Linked DNA regions of Macaca fascicularis. The protein of the gene in region 2 interacts with the protein of the main gene of each other region in a pairwise test. Links are inferred from orthologs where the notes say so. Each region holds a gene or a part of one and is shown on either strand. Other genes may lie near its edges. The genes, in order: IGF2BP3, PIH1D2 and EIF4A2.

The links.
Region 1: the proteins of PIH1D2 (region 2) and IGF2BP3 interact in a two-hybrid assay, tested with the Homo sapiens proteins (2 studies listed by BioGRID and IntAct). The two-hybrid records come from large-scale screens. The link is inferred for Macaca fascicularis from reciprocal best matches to the Homo sapiens genes PIH1D2 and IGF2BP3.
Region 3: the proteins of PIH1D2 (region 2) and EIF4A2 interact in binary tests that used the Homo sapiens proteins (3 or more experiments, as listed by UniProt). The two-hybrid records come from large-scale screens. The link is inferred for Macaca fascicularis from reciprocal best matches to the Homo sapiens genes PIH1D2 and EIF4A2.

The regions. Positions count from the first base shown.
Region 1 is NC_088377.1:106,804,246-106,808,973, forward strand, and holds the start of IGF2BP3 (insulin-like growth factor 2 mRNA-binding protein 3), read left to right. Parts: upstream 1-1,698; 5' UTR 1,699-2,079; coding exon 2,080-2,254; intron 2,255-3,645; coding exon 3,646-3,706; intron 3,707-4,728. UniProt on the Homo sapiens protein: RNA-binding factor that may recruit target transcripts to cytoplasmic protein-RNA complexes (mRNPs). This transcript 'caging' into mRNPs allows mRNA transport and transient storage.
Region 2 is NC_088388.1:111,003,358-111,008,219, forward strand, and holds the start of PIH1D2 (PIH1 domain-containing protein 2), read right to left. Parts: upstream 3,027-4,862; 5' UTR 2,804-3,026; exon of another isoform or gene 2,756-2,803; intron 1,624-2,755; 5' UTR 1,593-1,623; coding exon 1,416-1,592; intron 335-1,415; coding exon 211-334; intron 1-210. Other genes in the region: uncharacterized protein NKAPD1, read left to right, coding at 4,397-4,465.
Region 3 is NC_088376.1:11,710,431-11,715,158, forward strand, and holds the start of EIF4A2 (eukaryotic initiation factor 4A-II), read right to left. Parts: upstream 2,921-4,728; 5' UTR 2,887-2,920; coding exon 2,858-2,886; intron 2,068-2,857; coding exon 2,019-2,067; intron 1,933-2,018; coding exon 1,800-1,932; intron 1,696-1,799; exon of another isoform or gene 1,627-1,695; intron 1,527-1,626; coding exon 1,387-1,526; intron 605-1,386; coding exon 436-604; intron 325-435; coding exon 215-324; intron 170-214; exon of another isoform or gene 43-169; intron 1-42. UniProt on the Homo sapiens protein: ATP-dependent RNA helicase which is a subunit of the eIF4F complex involved in cap recognition and is required for mRNA binding to ribosome.

The DNA.
Region 1 (4,728 bases), on a different chromosome or scaffold from region 2:
AAAAATACACATTTTAAAATGCTAACAACGGTTTTGACAGAGAAGCTTTTAACAATTACCGAAGATGTTTCCAGCGTAAATCACAATATTTCCTCTATTCAGGATACCTTTTTTCTACCAGTAAGAGTACCAAGTCATTAAAGATTCTTGTCTATATTTTCATGTTATATAGAATTTATTTCACTTAAAAAATTAGCATTTTATATCTTTTCCATAGAATACCTGTTAAAAATATACCTGTTAAAAACACAACTATCTAGTGCAAATGAAAGCTTTGAGTGGAGTACACAATCATTAAACGACACTTGGAGATTTCCACTAGAACCCCAGCACTGCCTTCGTTTCCGTATTGCTCGTCTCCAGTTCACATTGTGTTGGCCCACAAAGGCTCCACCGGGCCCAAATCCTCCCCCGACAACCACCATTGTGCTCATTACATATAGAGAAAATTATGTATGGCTCTCATGACCAAATGTAGGCAGAAAAGAGGCAGAAAGAGGCTCGAACAGTTTTTCAAATACGAATCCCACCTAGGGGTAACGCAGGACGGTCTTCCAATTTTAAGTCTCAAGTTCTCCAACTAAAATTAATTAAATAAAAGTACCAGCCTGCTCCACTCCTCCCCCTTTAAAAACTACAGGAAGAGAGGATTTCCCTTTAAGTACCGACTTCTCCCACTTTGACTTCTCTCCTCCAGCGGCCCAGGTCCCCGACGACCCCAGCCCCTAGCTAGAAACCTCCGCCCCTGCACTCCCCTCCCCCACCAGTGGCCAAGCCCGCCCCCGGCCTCATTTATCCTGGAGCCTTTTCTGAATCGCGCAACCAATGGCAAACGCGAAGCCGAGAGCCACCGCGAGCGCAGGCGGAGGCGGAGGAGGTGTCGCCCAGACACCCGCCCAGGACGCTGCGGGCTCCCATCCCCCACCGCCCCGGGCCCGGGCCGCCCCCACTCGCGGGGTGCCCGGGGCCCGAGAAGGGCGCACAGGGTGGGGTGCGTCGCCCGCCTGTCTTGCCACTACCCCTTGCCCCCTTCACCCAGTCCCCCACCCCTCCTCGCATCGTTTCCGTCCCTGCCAGCCTTAGAAACGTGCCTGCGGCTTTGCTGGGGTTACACTTCTAATGCCATTAAAGCCACCAGGCGAGTTCGAGATTGTGACTCTGGTTTTGTTGTTAATAACCTATTTTGAAAAATCGAATGATTAAAACTACGGTAACTAAAGCTGAGGAATTGCCTGTTAGTACCTCTACCCATTTCCTCATTAAAAAAAAAAAAAAAAAATCAATATTCCAGCCCTCCCTCCCAGGATCCGCCCAGACCAGATAACCCTTTCCAAACTCGAGTTGTGACCGTCAGCGCCCCGCGCCGCGCTCCCCTCGGTGCCGGCTGCGGTTCCTTTAGCATTTTCCCTCTTCCTCCTCCGCCTTCTCAGGGTCCCTCTCCCAATCTCGTTTCCCCTCCCCCTCTTCCTCTCGCTCGCTTTTTTTTTTTTCTCTGAAACCCACTCTAATTGAGGCTCTGGGATTCCTCACGTGAGACGTTGATTTGTAGTTTGAACACGTGGCTCATTCAAAAAGCCGGACACTCGGAGCGGATTTTTTCCGCCTCCTGCGCCTTCATCCCTCCTCCTCCTCCTCTCCCCTCCCTCCTGCCAGTCACCCTTCTGGGTTTTTTATGGGGAGGCGGCGCCTGCCTCACGTAGTGTGATATTTTCACAGTCCGCTGGCCGAAGCCAAAGGGGTTGGGGAGGAAGAGACAAAAAGTAGTTTTTTCCCCTCCTCCTCCTCCTTTCTCTTGCTAATCCCGCCTCCTTCTCAGACTTAGGAAGACTGGTGGATGCGTTTGGGTTGTAGCTAGGCTTTTTCTTTTCTTTCTCTTTTAAAACATATCTAGACAAGGAAAAACAAGCCTCGGATCTGATTTTTCGCTCCTCATTCTTGTGCTTGGTTCTTACTGTGTTTGTGTATTTTAAAGGCGAGAAGACGAGGGGAACAAAACCAGCTGGATCCATCCATCACCGTGGGTGGTTTTAATTTTTCGTTTTTCTCGTTAATTTTTTTTTTAAACAACCACTCTTCACAATGAACAAACTGTATATCGGAAACCTCAGCGACAACGCCGCCCCCTCGGACCTAGAAAGTATCTTCAAGGACGCCAAGATCCCGGTGTCGGGACCCTTCCTGGTGAAGACTGGCTACGCGTTCGTGGACTGCCCGGACGAGAGCTGGGCCCTCAAGGCCATCGAGGCGCTTTCAGGTGGGCCCGGGCCTGGCCCCACCCGGGCTCTCGCCCCAGCCCTGCACCGCCCGCCCAGACCCACCGGGGTGGTTCCGCGGGCCCCAGGCCCGGCGCGCTGGGGGAGCGGGGGTGAGGCCTCAGCGCCCACACCCACGCGCGTGGGGGCCGGGGCTCTCCTCAGCTTCGGCTCCCACTCCAGCCCGCGGCTCTGCTTCCCCGGCCGGGGTTTGTTGGGTGAGGGCGGACGCGCTGTCAAGAAAGCCCCGGCGCTGGCTAAGGGGGGCGCGGGGCTGGGGGAGGCGCGCTCCCCCGGCGCCCCGCCCGGGCCCAGGCGCGTGCTCCAGGCCCCGGCACGCTGGGCCTCGGGGGCCGAGCTAGAATGCCCGCCTGTGTCTCATTCCTTCCTGCTTTCCTCGGTCGTTATTTACGGCGCTGTCTGTTCTGCGCCCCGAAACCCCGGCCGTGGAGAACGGAAAGTGGCCTCGACCTTGCTGCCGAGTGAGACCGCGGGGCTGGTGCCTCGCACAGGCGGCCCCGCGCTTCCTCCCCACCCTGCGGGAGGAGAGAGTGTGCCCGGTTTCCCCGTTCCACCTCCCCCGGTCCGACGAGCGATAGGGGCAGGTGGGCGGGGGCGGCTGGTCGCCTGGAAGGGAGTCGCCGCCACGCACCGGGCCGCCCGCCGCTCTCCGGGCCCTGGCGCGGGGCTGCGGCCTCCGGGTATGGCTCCGCCAGGGCGAGGGACGGTGCCGGGCGGGGCGGGACGCCCGGGGGAAGGCTGTGCTGGGGTCCCCATGGGAGCCCCGTGCTTTTCGGCTTCCCTTTTAATCAACTCAGACGTGGTGCGGGCGCCTCGCAGTCCTTCGCTCTTGGTTCAGCCTGAGCCGAGCTGCGCCTCTGCCAGTTCTCCCGTTCTGGGTCTCCCCTGCCGTCCCCGACCCTTTCCCGCCACTCCCTGTCCTCCCCAAGCCCACTCCTAAGTGTTCCCGGCGGGTTGGGCTGAAGCAGAGGGCAGAGCCAGGGCGCCCCCTCCAGAAGAAAGCCAGGGGAGCCCCCTGCCCCGAGTCTGTCCTGTGGAGCGTGTCCAGGGCGGTGAGAGGATGGGCCGTGTCCCTCTTGGGGGCTTCGTGTTGGTGGCCCCCAGGGGTGGGTGGGGGAGGCTTTGGGGACTGGACTGATACCCAAGTAGTGGGCCCGTCAGCGGACCCTGCTCCTCAACCATCTGCGAGTTAAATGCCCACGCCGCCCGAGGGGGTCGGCTTCTCCCTCCGTCTGGAGCCGCGTCCGGGTCTCGGGGACCCTTCGGGGGCCTCAGGAGGCCATTTGTGTCGCCAGTTGGGCTGTGCGGGTCTTTCGGGCAGGGAGAGCCGCTGAACTCGGCCGACCGTCTCTCACTTCTTGTGTGTCCGCAGGTAAAATAGAACTGCACGGGAAACCCATAGAAGTTGAGCACTCGGTCCCAAAAAGGCAAAGGTGAGCTGCTGCTTCTGTTTCCCCCGATTCTGTTCTCACTCCGTTATTGGGTGGAGAGACTCAGCTGAGAACTTGTCCTTTGGTGCTTACCCGGCTGCGGTGTGGCGTGGTGTTCTGGTCTTTTCCCCTTGCTTTTAAGTTTATGGCGGGGGTGTGTGTGTGTGTGTTGATGATGCTGGGTAGGAATTGAAAGCTTGTCTGTGGCCTCTGCCGCGGGATTATGGTTATTGGTTACAAAATCTCTCGGAAGCTCACAGCTGAATGTCCTCGGTCACAGCGGGTCAAATTGCTCCTACGGGAAATGGGTCGCAACAAGCAGTTTCGGGGGGTACTCTGCAGGACTTGGGAAGCAGCGGATGATTCCCCTACCCCTCCAGGAGCAAGAAAGGCGAAACCAGCTGCGGACACGCGGGGGGCGCGCCTTTCTGTCCGGATTTGGGAGGCCGTGGGCGCGGCCGACTGGAGAGGAATTTGCCTCTGCCCTGTGAGCTCGCCAGGGGTATTGGAACGCGTGCGTAAACGCCGGGGCCTCTCCGGCCCAGAAGTGCCTTTGAGTCATTCCAAAGTTCTACAGGTTCTTGCAGTCAGCACCTTTGTCTCCCCGCTTTCCACCCTACTCCTCCTGGGTACATTTTTGCTTACAACCACCAAATGATGAAGACAGGAAGATTTTGTGCCACTTAAGGAGGGGGATTTCTCGTCTCCGAGATCATGTGTGTAGTATGTCCCTTTACAGAATGTTTGCAGGTTGTTTTAGCCTCTGAAGCATTTTGGAGACATGGCTCTTTCCCTTTTTCTTTTTCTTATGAAGCCTTTTGCAGCGACTCCTTTCCTTTCGCTAGAGCCGGCCAGATTCCGGCTCTATTTTTTTGTTTTGTTTTATTTTTTAAAACCTTCAGCCAACTCACACCATAGGTTCCGGCTCTAACTCCAGTTGGAAAGGCACTGCTGCCTCCCAGTCGCACCGGGGTGGGCCTCTAAGCCTTTCTGGGTTTTGCAAGATGGGGTTAGGGTTTCTGCCT
Region 2 (4,862 bases):
CAATTATGACATTTCCTGGCACTTTTACATGGATTAAAACCGCATCTTATTACAAAAGTTAAACTATTAAATTTGCATAAAGGTACACTAATTGTAATTCTGTTATCACCAAATAAAGAATTTTACTTGAAATGCTCTCAACCAAGTAAAATCTTGTCCATTCCTAATAAAATTTGTACAATGTGCTTTCTCTCCCTTAATTATTTGTACCTGATGTCTCAGTTGTATCTTCTGGTTTGCCAACAGTTAGAGGTACTGGATGAGTGGCTGATTGGGGAGGTGGGATCCTTGTCCACTGACACAGGTTGATAAAAAGTATTTTTTCTTTTGGTTTCTGGAAAGCAAATAATTTTGCACATCTCAAAACCTAGTTTAAAACCATTTAAGGCCAGGCATGGTGGCTCATGCCTGTAATCCCAGCACTTTGTGGGGGCCGAGGTGCCTGGATCACCTGAGGTCAGGAATTTGAGACCAGCCTGGCCAACATGGTGAAACCCCATTTCTACTAAAAATACAAAAGTCCGCCAGGTGTGGTGGCAGATAATCCCAGCTACTCAGGAGGCTGAGGCAGGAGAATCGCTTGAACCCAGGAGGCAGAGATTGCAGTGAGCCAAGATTGTGCCATTGCACTGCAGCCTAGGTATTAAAATTGTGTTTGATTATACTGTTGTTACTTGATTTCCCCAAGGTTGCTGGCTTTTAATCAGGAAACCAGACCAGGGTGGTGGCTCACGTATGTTACCCTAGTACTTTGAGAGGCCGAGGTAGGAGGGTCGCTTGAGGCCTAGGAGTTCGAGACTAGCCTGGGAAACATAGGGAGATCCTGTCTCTACAAAAATAATTTAAAAATTAGCCAGGTGTGGTGGTGCCCACCTGTGATCCCAGCTACTTGGGAGGCTGAGGTGGAAGGATCGTTTGGGCTGCAATGAACTGTGATTGTGAGCTGTGATTGTGCCACTGCACTCCAGCTTCAGCGACAGCAAAACCCTATCTCAAAAAAAAAAAAAAAAAAAAAAAAAAAAGTCCGCTGGGCGCGGTGGCTCATGCCTATAATCACAGCACTTTGGGAGGCTGAGGCGGGTAGATCACCTGAGGTCAGGAGTTCAAGACCAGCCTGGCCAACATGGTGAAACCCTGTCTTTACTAATAATACAAAAATTAGCCAGGCATGGTAGTGCACACCTGTAATCCCAGCTACTTGGGAGCCTGAGGCAGGAGAATCGCTTGAACCCAGGAGGCGGAGGTTGCAGTGAGCCAAGACCATGCCATTGCACTCCAGCCTGGGTGACAGAGCAAAACTCTGTCTCAAAAAAAAAAAAAAAAAAAAAAGCAATGCCTAAGTGCAAAGTATTCTGTGGTTACTCTGGGATCATTTTATTCAAGACCTCCCCATCCCTGGCACCAACTCGACATACCAGAATCCTGGTCTGTAGACAAAGCTGTGGTTGTGGGTCAGCACAGAGCTGTTTCCCTTCTTTCAGCTGCTGTTGAATAAACTTCTCATAGCCCTCAGGGTCACTTTCAGCTAGATCATCTAGGAGGTTCCAAAATTGAGTAACTTGGGTGAGCAGACCCTTTGAGGATGTCTCCATGACTGATGAGTGGTGAATAATTTTCTTAAGCCTGTGGAAAGACATGACTTTGGGAAGAAAACTGTCTGTGTAATTTTTTTTTTTTTTTTTTTTTTTTTTTTTTTTTGAGACGGAGTCTCGCTCTGCCGCCCAGGCTGGAGTGCAGTGGCCGGATCTCAGCTCACTGCAAGCTCCGCCTCCCGGGTTTATGCCATTCTCCTGCCTCAGCCTCCCAAGTAGCTGGGACTACAGGCGCCCGCCGCCTCGCCCGGCTAGTTTTTTGTATTTTTCAGTAGAGACGGGGTTTCCCCGTGTTAGCCAGGATGGTCTGGATCTCCTGACCTTGTGATCCGCCCGTCTCGGCCTCCCAAAGTGCTGGGATTACAGGCTTGAGCCACCACGCCCGGCCCTGTGTAATTGTTGATTCATTTCTGCTTTGGGGAGGCGGAATGGGCCAGGAATTGTTTTGGTGAAGTTAGGACTTAGCATTTGTGTCTAAAAGATTGTGGATCAGCAGCACCACTTTATGTTTTCCTTATTCTTTAATTATCTAGTACCTCTTCCTAAATTCTCACATTGTCCTCTCAGATAAGACTTTACTTCTACTTGGACCCTGACAAGTCAGAGCAATCATTTTAAATCTGGGTTTCCTGATCTTCTTGTTCCAACACCTCACTGACTGGTGGCTCCCCAGTTCTGAAATTGCCAGAGGTGTGTATGGGGTGAGGGCCACATGAGACTTCCTTAATCCTCATTATAGTTTAGTAATTCAAAGCATGGACTTGCGAGCCAGAATGCCTAGATTCCGGTCTTAGTTCTATCTCTCACTAGCTGTATGACCTTGAGCAATTAATGTGTGTGTGTGTGTGTGTGTGTGTGTGTGTGTGTGTGTGTGTGTATACACATACACATACATATACATATATATATATTCCTCTTACTCTGTTCAAAATGAAGACGATAATACCTATATTATCATAGGGTTATTGCGAGGATTAAGGAAGCTAATAGAGAGGCTGGGACACTTCTCTACGTCTTCAGAGCCTCTTCTCCCATTGGAGAGGTGTCCCACAGCATCTTTAGAACGAGGCAAAAAGGTTTAGATTCTTCAACTACTGTGTAAGGGTTACGCTAAATGGGAAGCTTAACTAACGGGTAATCATTCCATAGGTCTGCAAACCCACCTCTTCTCTGTTCTAACGGGTAGTCATTCTATAGGCTGGCAAACCCACCTCTTCTCTCAGCTCCTTGACAAACCGCGACGCCTGTTACCAGGGTAACCAGCCTGGGTACAACATCTAATTGGGTCCGGGGAGTTTCAGGCAGAAAAGTCTCCTCATATCTAGTTCCGGAATGTCCCCCTTCTGGTACCAGGCTTGCTTTTCAGTTGGGCCCGATCCACTTCTCTTCCAGGAAAGCGCCCGCCTCCCTTCTGCACCCGTCAACCTCTGGAGTGTCCTGAAAACCCTCCCTTCTGGGAGTCTCTGGGCTGCCTGTTGGTGGGACTATTTCTCAGGAGCACCACTTCCGGCCTGAGAAGGAAGTCTCCTCCTTTTTCTCCCAAACCGCTTCTTCCCCCCTACCCCCCGCCACGCGAGGCAGCGGCGCACGGTATGGGTGTGTTTGTGTGTATTTGTGTGGGGAGGGCGTTTGGAGGGGAGGTTACCGGGAGCTCCGAGGCCGCTGGGGGACAGGGATCCCGGTGACAAAGATGGGGATATTTCCTCTGTCTTCCACTTGGAAACCTCAACCCCCGCTTCAGGCCCCCTAGATACTTCCTGGCGCCCAACCGAAGGCCATAGCCATCCAAAGCGTTCCCATCCTTTCTGGGGAGTGAAACTTACCCCCGGGGTTCGTCCCAGAGGAGCGTGAGGGGGGAATGCCCGGGTCAACCGGGCTGTCCGAATTCCGCGCCGGCTCAGTCTCCGGCCTCAGTCCGCGAGAGAGATCTGCCTGTCGATCTGGGCTGGGGGAAAGGCGGCAGTGGCCTGGGCCACAGGTGAGGGCAGATTAACCAGTGGGAAGGCTGCGTTTTCACGAAGGACTCGGGTGAAGCTGCAGAGCTGCCTTTGAGCCCTGACTCCTTGGCTTCCTGGGTCGGAGGAGATCTTGTAATGGAGTGGTTCTTCGTCTCACTAACAAGATGCCTGATTTCCTCAGGATCAAGGGGTGAGTGAGCGTTGGGGTGGTTGCACAAAGCCCGTGCTAGCTACACACGAAAATATTCTTGTCATCTAGTTTTTGGAAGCTTCCGTACCAAGTAGGAAATAAAATGCTCCCAAATGGAGAAGTTTAGGACATCTTTGCATTTGATGTTTTGAGTCATCAGTTTCTGTTACTGTTGACACCTGTGGTTCCTGATACTCTCAAATCTACGTATTTGCTTCACTGCAAACTAATATTGGGATTGGAGGTTTGATTTTTAATCTAGACATTGATATACATCATTTGCCTGGGACTATGTGGCTTGGGGCATGACAAGTTTAAGGGAACTTCATCTACAAAATAGGGATGGAGATATTTGCCTCATATAAAAAATAGTTATGAGGATTAAATAAAATGGTGCTCATGAAAGCACTTAATTTTATGCAGTCTTGTGCATTTTCAAAGAACTTTAATGTACATTATCTCCTTTCATCTCACATTAGTGTGTTTAGGCATTTCCCTCTTTTAATGGTAAAGGGAAAACTATTATTTAGGATCTTTGACTTCTAGTTCAGTGATCTTTCCTTTACCTCATGCTTCTTTATAAAATTTAAGAAAAGATAAAGTAATAAAATAAATTATTACTAAACGTTATTTGTTGATTCATTTCAGATTGAAGAATGTCCCGGATTCCACTGGGGAAAGTTCTCCTGAGGAATGTCATCCGGCACACAGATGCTCACAATAAGGTGGGAGGTACAACCTAGTTACTCCTCAGTGCTTACTGAAAGTAAGCAGTGTGCCAAGCATTATTTTGGCACAACTGGGAGATACAAAGAATATTCTTGTCATCTAGTCTTTGAAAGCTTTTGTACAAAGTAGGAAATAAAATGATGAATACAATAGATAATTATAATACAGTTTGATAAGTACTGTATAACAGAGATATTTGCAAAGTGCTTTGGAGCACTAAGGAGGAAATAATAAAATCTACCCCGGGGAATTAGAAAAGATTTTACAGAATTAGTGGTATTTGAGCTGCTGACATTTAAACTGGTTCTTGAATAAGTATAAGCTTACTAGGTATGAAAGATCATTCTGGATAGAGAGCATCATGCATTAATATGGCAACAAAAAAGAGCATTA
Region 3 (4,728 bases), on a different chromosome or scaffold from region 2:
ATTATGTTGTAGAACAACTTACACAGTAATACCCAAGAGAAAATGTTTGAAGCCAAGCGTCTCTGTCTCACTACAGAATGGAGTTAGACAGAGATAGTTATGCATCAAGTGCTTTAAGCAGGGGGAACGACAATAAAACACGTCAGTTGTATTGTAACAGTACCTGCATTAAACCCCATCTGTACCTTTAAGAGGGGAGTGAAGTAATGCTTACCTGAATACTTGTGTTTAGTTTTTGGAAAATCTCATAGATTTGATCCTTAAACCCACGGCTCAACATTTCATCTGCTTCATCCAAAACAAACATTTTGATCCATTTTGGAGCTGTTAGAAACAAAGTCATACTGTCACTTCTAGATCTACTCAGTAATATGATGACTTTTCAACTGTAACAGTAAAAAAAAAAAAAAAAACTCTTTTAAAGACAATACTTACAAAGATATCTTCTGTTTAACATATCAAAAACTCTCCCAGGTGTACCAACAACAATATGTGGTGCTTCGGCCTGCAGTTTTTGCATTTCATTTCGAACATTTGTTCCACCAATGCAGGCATGACAAGTTGCTCCCATATAGTCTCCAAGTGCCAGAATTACCTTTTGGATCTAAAAACCAAGCCTTAATTATTATCCTGAAGAACTCCAGGATCAATGACTACTTTTTAAAGCATAATGGCAAATTTAAACTGGTCTGCCAACAGCTTTTATGCATGCACAGCACGAAACTACTTCCAAGCTTAAAACGCAGACTGACCTAACTGCTTCAAGGTAAAACTCCCTTAATGTCTTTCTTCTGCCTTGTCAAACTTGGGATGCTGCTGCCCCACGCATCAGCTAGACAATTCAAGAATAACATTTCCTACATTATTCTTCACTGTGTGTAGGGAGTACATAGTGAAATATATGTTCTGTAATTACAGCTAGGGCAAATAATTTTTTTCCCCCAGAGGGTATTGTGCTTTATATAATCTTGACCTCAATAAAGCCTCCAGCTTTATTAGGAAGGTTTACTTCAAAGCCAATATAGCAGTGAGCTTTGAAAACATAGCATGCAACAGATGCATCACAAACTACGGAGACAGTCAAATGGTAACATGTCACTGCAGTTTTCATGTTGCACAACTGCATTCAAACTTAAAAAATGGGGACAGATCTAGTACATCCAAGAGAGTGTTTCGGATTCTCAATCTATTAGTATACAACCCTACAAACCATACCTGCATACCCAGTTCTTTTAAAGCTTTCAACAAAAACTCCCTGCATGCATGGACAATTAAAAGGAAGGATCTGGTAGGACCAATTTATACTAAGTTTTAAATTCTTCACAGTTGTGAAACCTGAAACCTATGCAACACGCAAGCAGTTTTTTTGAACTACACTATCAATACCTGTTGAGCCAGTTCTCTGGTGGGGGCCAATACTAGTGCTTGGGTCTCCTTGAACTCAATCTCCAACTGTTGCAGGATGGAAATAGCAAATGTGGCTGTCTTGCCAGTACCTGACTGAGCTTGAGCAATCACATCATACCCTAAAAAAAGTAGGATACATATTTACCGATCCCACATCAAATTGTCACTTCTACTTTACACCATGTATTCCATTTGGAACATGAATTATGCCCAAATAATAAGTGATCAGCAATGAGTATTCTCTTCATTTCAGGTCAGTCCCGAAAGATGATTGCCATCATTTCACTTTAAGGAATACAAACAGGTGCTAGTCCCCCAGAGGTTACTTTCCCTTTTACGGTCCATGACTATGTAGAATAAAGTCATTTCCTAAAAATTCCAGTTTCTTTTACCTTTAATACAGGGAATAATAGCTCTCTGCTGAATAGCGGAAGGCTTCTCAAAACCGTAAGCATAGATGCCACGAAGAAGAGACTCCTTTAAATTCATATCATCAAAGTTATCAACAATCTCATTCCAGTTGCTCTGTAAGTTAGAAAAAATAATGCACGCATGAATGAGATGAACACATTCACCTTTTCAAAGCTTCAACATCCACAACCGTTTCTTACCTCGATGACACCATCGGGGTCCATTCCCTCTGGGCCGCCATGTTCTCTGCTGACAAGAATACTGCAGTCAGACATCCCTTCCAAGCCACCTTAACTGCATCTTAAAGGGATAGCCCTTTGCAACCCGTCTCAGCACATTAGCCTCCCCTGCACAAGTTAAAGCAGCAGCTGCAGGACGAATATCACACTGCGCGCCTTCCCTAAAGGTTGGGGGCCGCGGACGTCCGGAAAGGCAGCCCCCCAGGCCCCAGCGCATGGGGATCCCGTTTCGGCGGCGGAGCGTCTCGCGAGAGCTCGGGGCGACGAGCTCCGCCCCCAACAATGCGCAAGCCGGGTGATTGACGCGGGCGGAGCGGCCTGGCGAGAGCGATGCCAACGGTTCGCCGGCACCCGTGCCGGTCCGGTCCCATCGCCTCCGCGCCGTGGCCGAGTGGAGACCGCTGCCTCCAACCCTTCCCCAACTGAAGCCAAGGACCCCCAACTCCTGTGGTTGACCAAAAATAAAGCTTCGGGTCCTGGTTACACTGTACCGAACGCGGACTGCGCCACGGCTGTTTACTGCATGTTTCCCGTGCTCTACACTGGGAGGGGAAGCAGCCAAAATTCCTAATGTCTTAGGGAGGAGAAACGCCCTTTAGCCGCTGCTTTCGCACCATCGTCCTGTCTCCCCACAATCCGGGCCCTACCCATCATGGAAGCTTCTGGAAGGGCACAGGGGTGCTGTACCCTAAGGAAACGTGCACTAAGTTGGAGTTTTTGCCTCCATGCCATCCACTATAATCTCTCCTGGCGCCCTACGACCTTCACTACAGACCGCGACCGCCAACAGCGCGCCATACCTGTTATAATCCGCGGAGCCACCAGACATGATCCGAAAAACCACTCAGCGCCCGACTGAAAAGACAGCAGAGCCCCGCCACCCGTTTTTTATAGGCTCGTGGCCGGAACCCGTTTCTTGCGGAGGAATTTTCTCGCCGTGCTTCGGTCAGCCACAAAATTGTGATCCTGGGGTCGTTACGTCGGATAAAATCCTAAGCAAGACGGTTGGAAAATCCAAATGTGGTAATTTCTCGATATTATAGGGTCGCTGGAAATCCTAGGGCCCGGGGTTGGGTTGGGATTCTTTACCTCGCGGCGGAAGAATATCGCTGCGGCGTTAGTCAAACACCACTTTCCCCGCCCGCCCTGCTCCTACGGGGTTTCCGCGTCCCTGACGCAGAGGCGGGCCGGGGGAGTGGAGCCGGAGCCGGAGCCGGAGGCGGAAGCCGGAGACGCTGCCCGCTGGGCGTCTGGGTCTTCCCGCGTGCGAGGGGTCCCGACTCGCGGCTCGCTGCCGGCGCTCAGGTGCGGGAGGGGAACTCGGTTATTCCACTTGCTCCCACCGCTGTTTAATTTGACAGTGAAGACCTGCCTGGCATTTAGCCCGACCATTAACATCCATTCAGATCTTGGAAACGTAAAATTCCTGCTAGGGAAAATGTCGGCCACCCAGCGAGTCCCGGAAAGTTTGGTTTACCGGTACATTTTGCAGCGAGAAAAAAAAATGGAGTGTCATTTGCAGATGTCTCTGGAGTAGCCAATTCTATTCTCATATCGTTTCCGGTCTCTCGCTTTCTTTTTAAAAGAGTGTTAATGATTTTAACCTAACAGGTGTGAGGAATGCCTGAAAAAAATCATAAACTTTTGCAAATGGATAGAAGCTAAGGAGCAGTAATTTTCCGTGGAACGCACGAATTTAAATGGACGCTTTGGCAGATACAGCTCTGTGCCGCTTTGGGACTACATCGGTGTTGATTCCGTCTACATTGGTCATTTTTTAAGGGCTTTGAGCTTTACCGATATATAGTGAAATGTTGATTTATTGAAATTCAGAGCAATAATATCCTTGCTGCGTAAACTGCACGAGTCTTTAAGCTCCAGATGTTTTCAATTAGCCCCATCTCAGGTCCCTTCACAGCAACAAAAAAACAATATATGTAGTCATTTAACTTTAAAATACAACCCTACCCATGGTGCAAAATATCGAGAATATCTGGAAACATTTTATCATATTTCAGAAGGCCAACTTAAAGAATCATTACTGGGAAAGCTGACTCAATTTTCTGTATTATTGAAGATATTTGGTTCTAAATACTATTTTAATACGAAAATTATTTATTCATTTGAAAATTCTTATCGTGCCAGGAATTGGGACAAAGATGAAGAATACCAAAATGGCAAAGTGGGCCTGGCCCTCAGTCTATTGGTACTGCTCCTCATTCATTCCTCTGTAATGTTCGAAAGCCATATTTGAGGTGATGCCAGACATTTTCTGAGAATGATGTTTGTCAGAGATCCTTGTTGTCTCATCCAAAATATACTAAAACTATCCTGAGATCTAAGAAATTGAAAAATATACTAAATCAAAAAAGTGACCAACCGTTTGGTTTCACTTGGGTGAAAACAGTTGGTCACAGGGTGATACCAATCAACAATTAACACTTAATTGTTGGTTGTTTTCTTTAGGATTAGCACTACACTAGATGCTGTGGAGGATTTTCAAGCCTCTTAAGAAGAAGTCTATCCTGGCTAACATGGTGAAACCCCGTCTCTACTAAAAATACAAAAAACTAGCCGGGCGTGGTGGCGGGCGCCTGTAGTCTCAGCTACTTGGGAGGCTGAGGCGGGAGAATGGCGTGAACCCGGGAGGCGGAGTTTGCAGTGAGCCGAG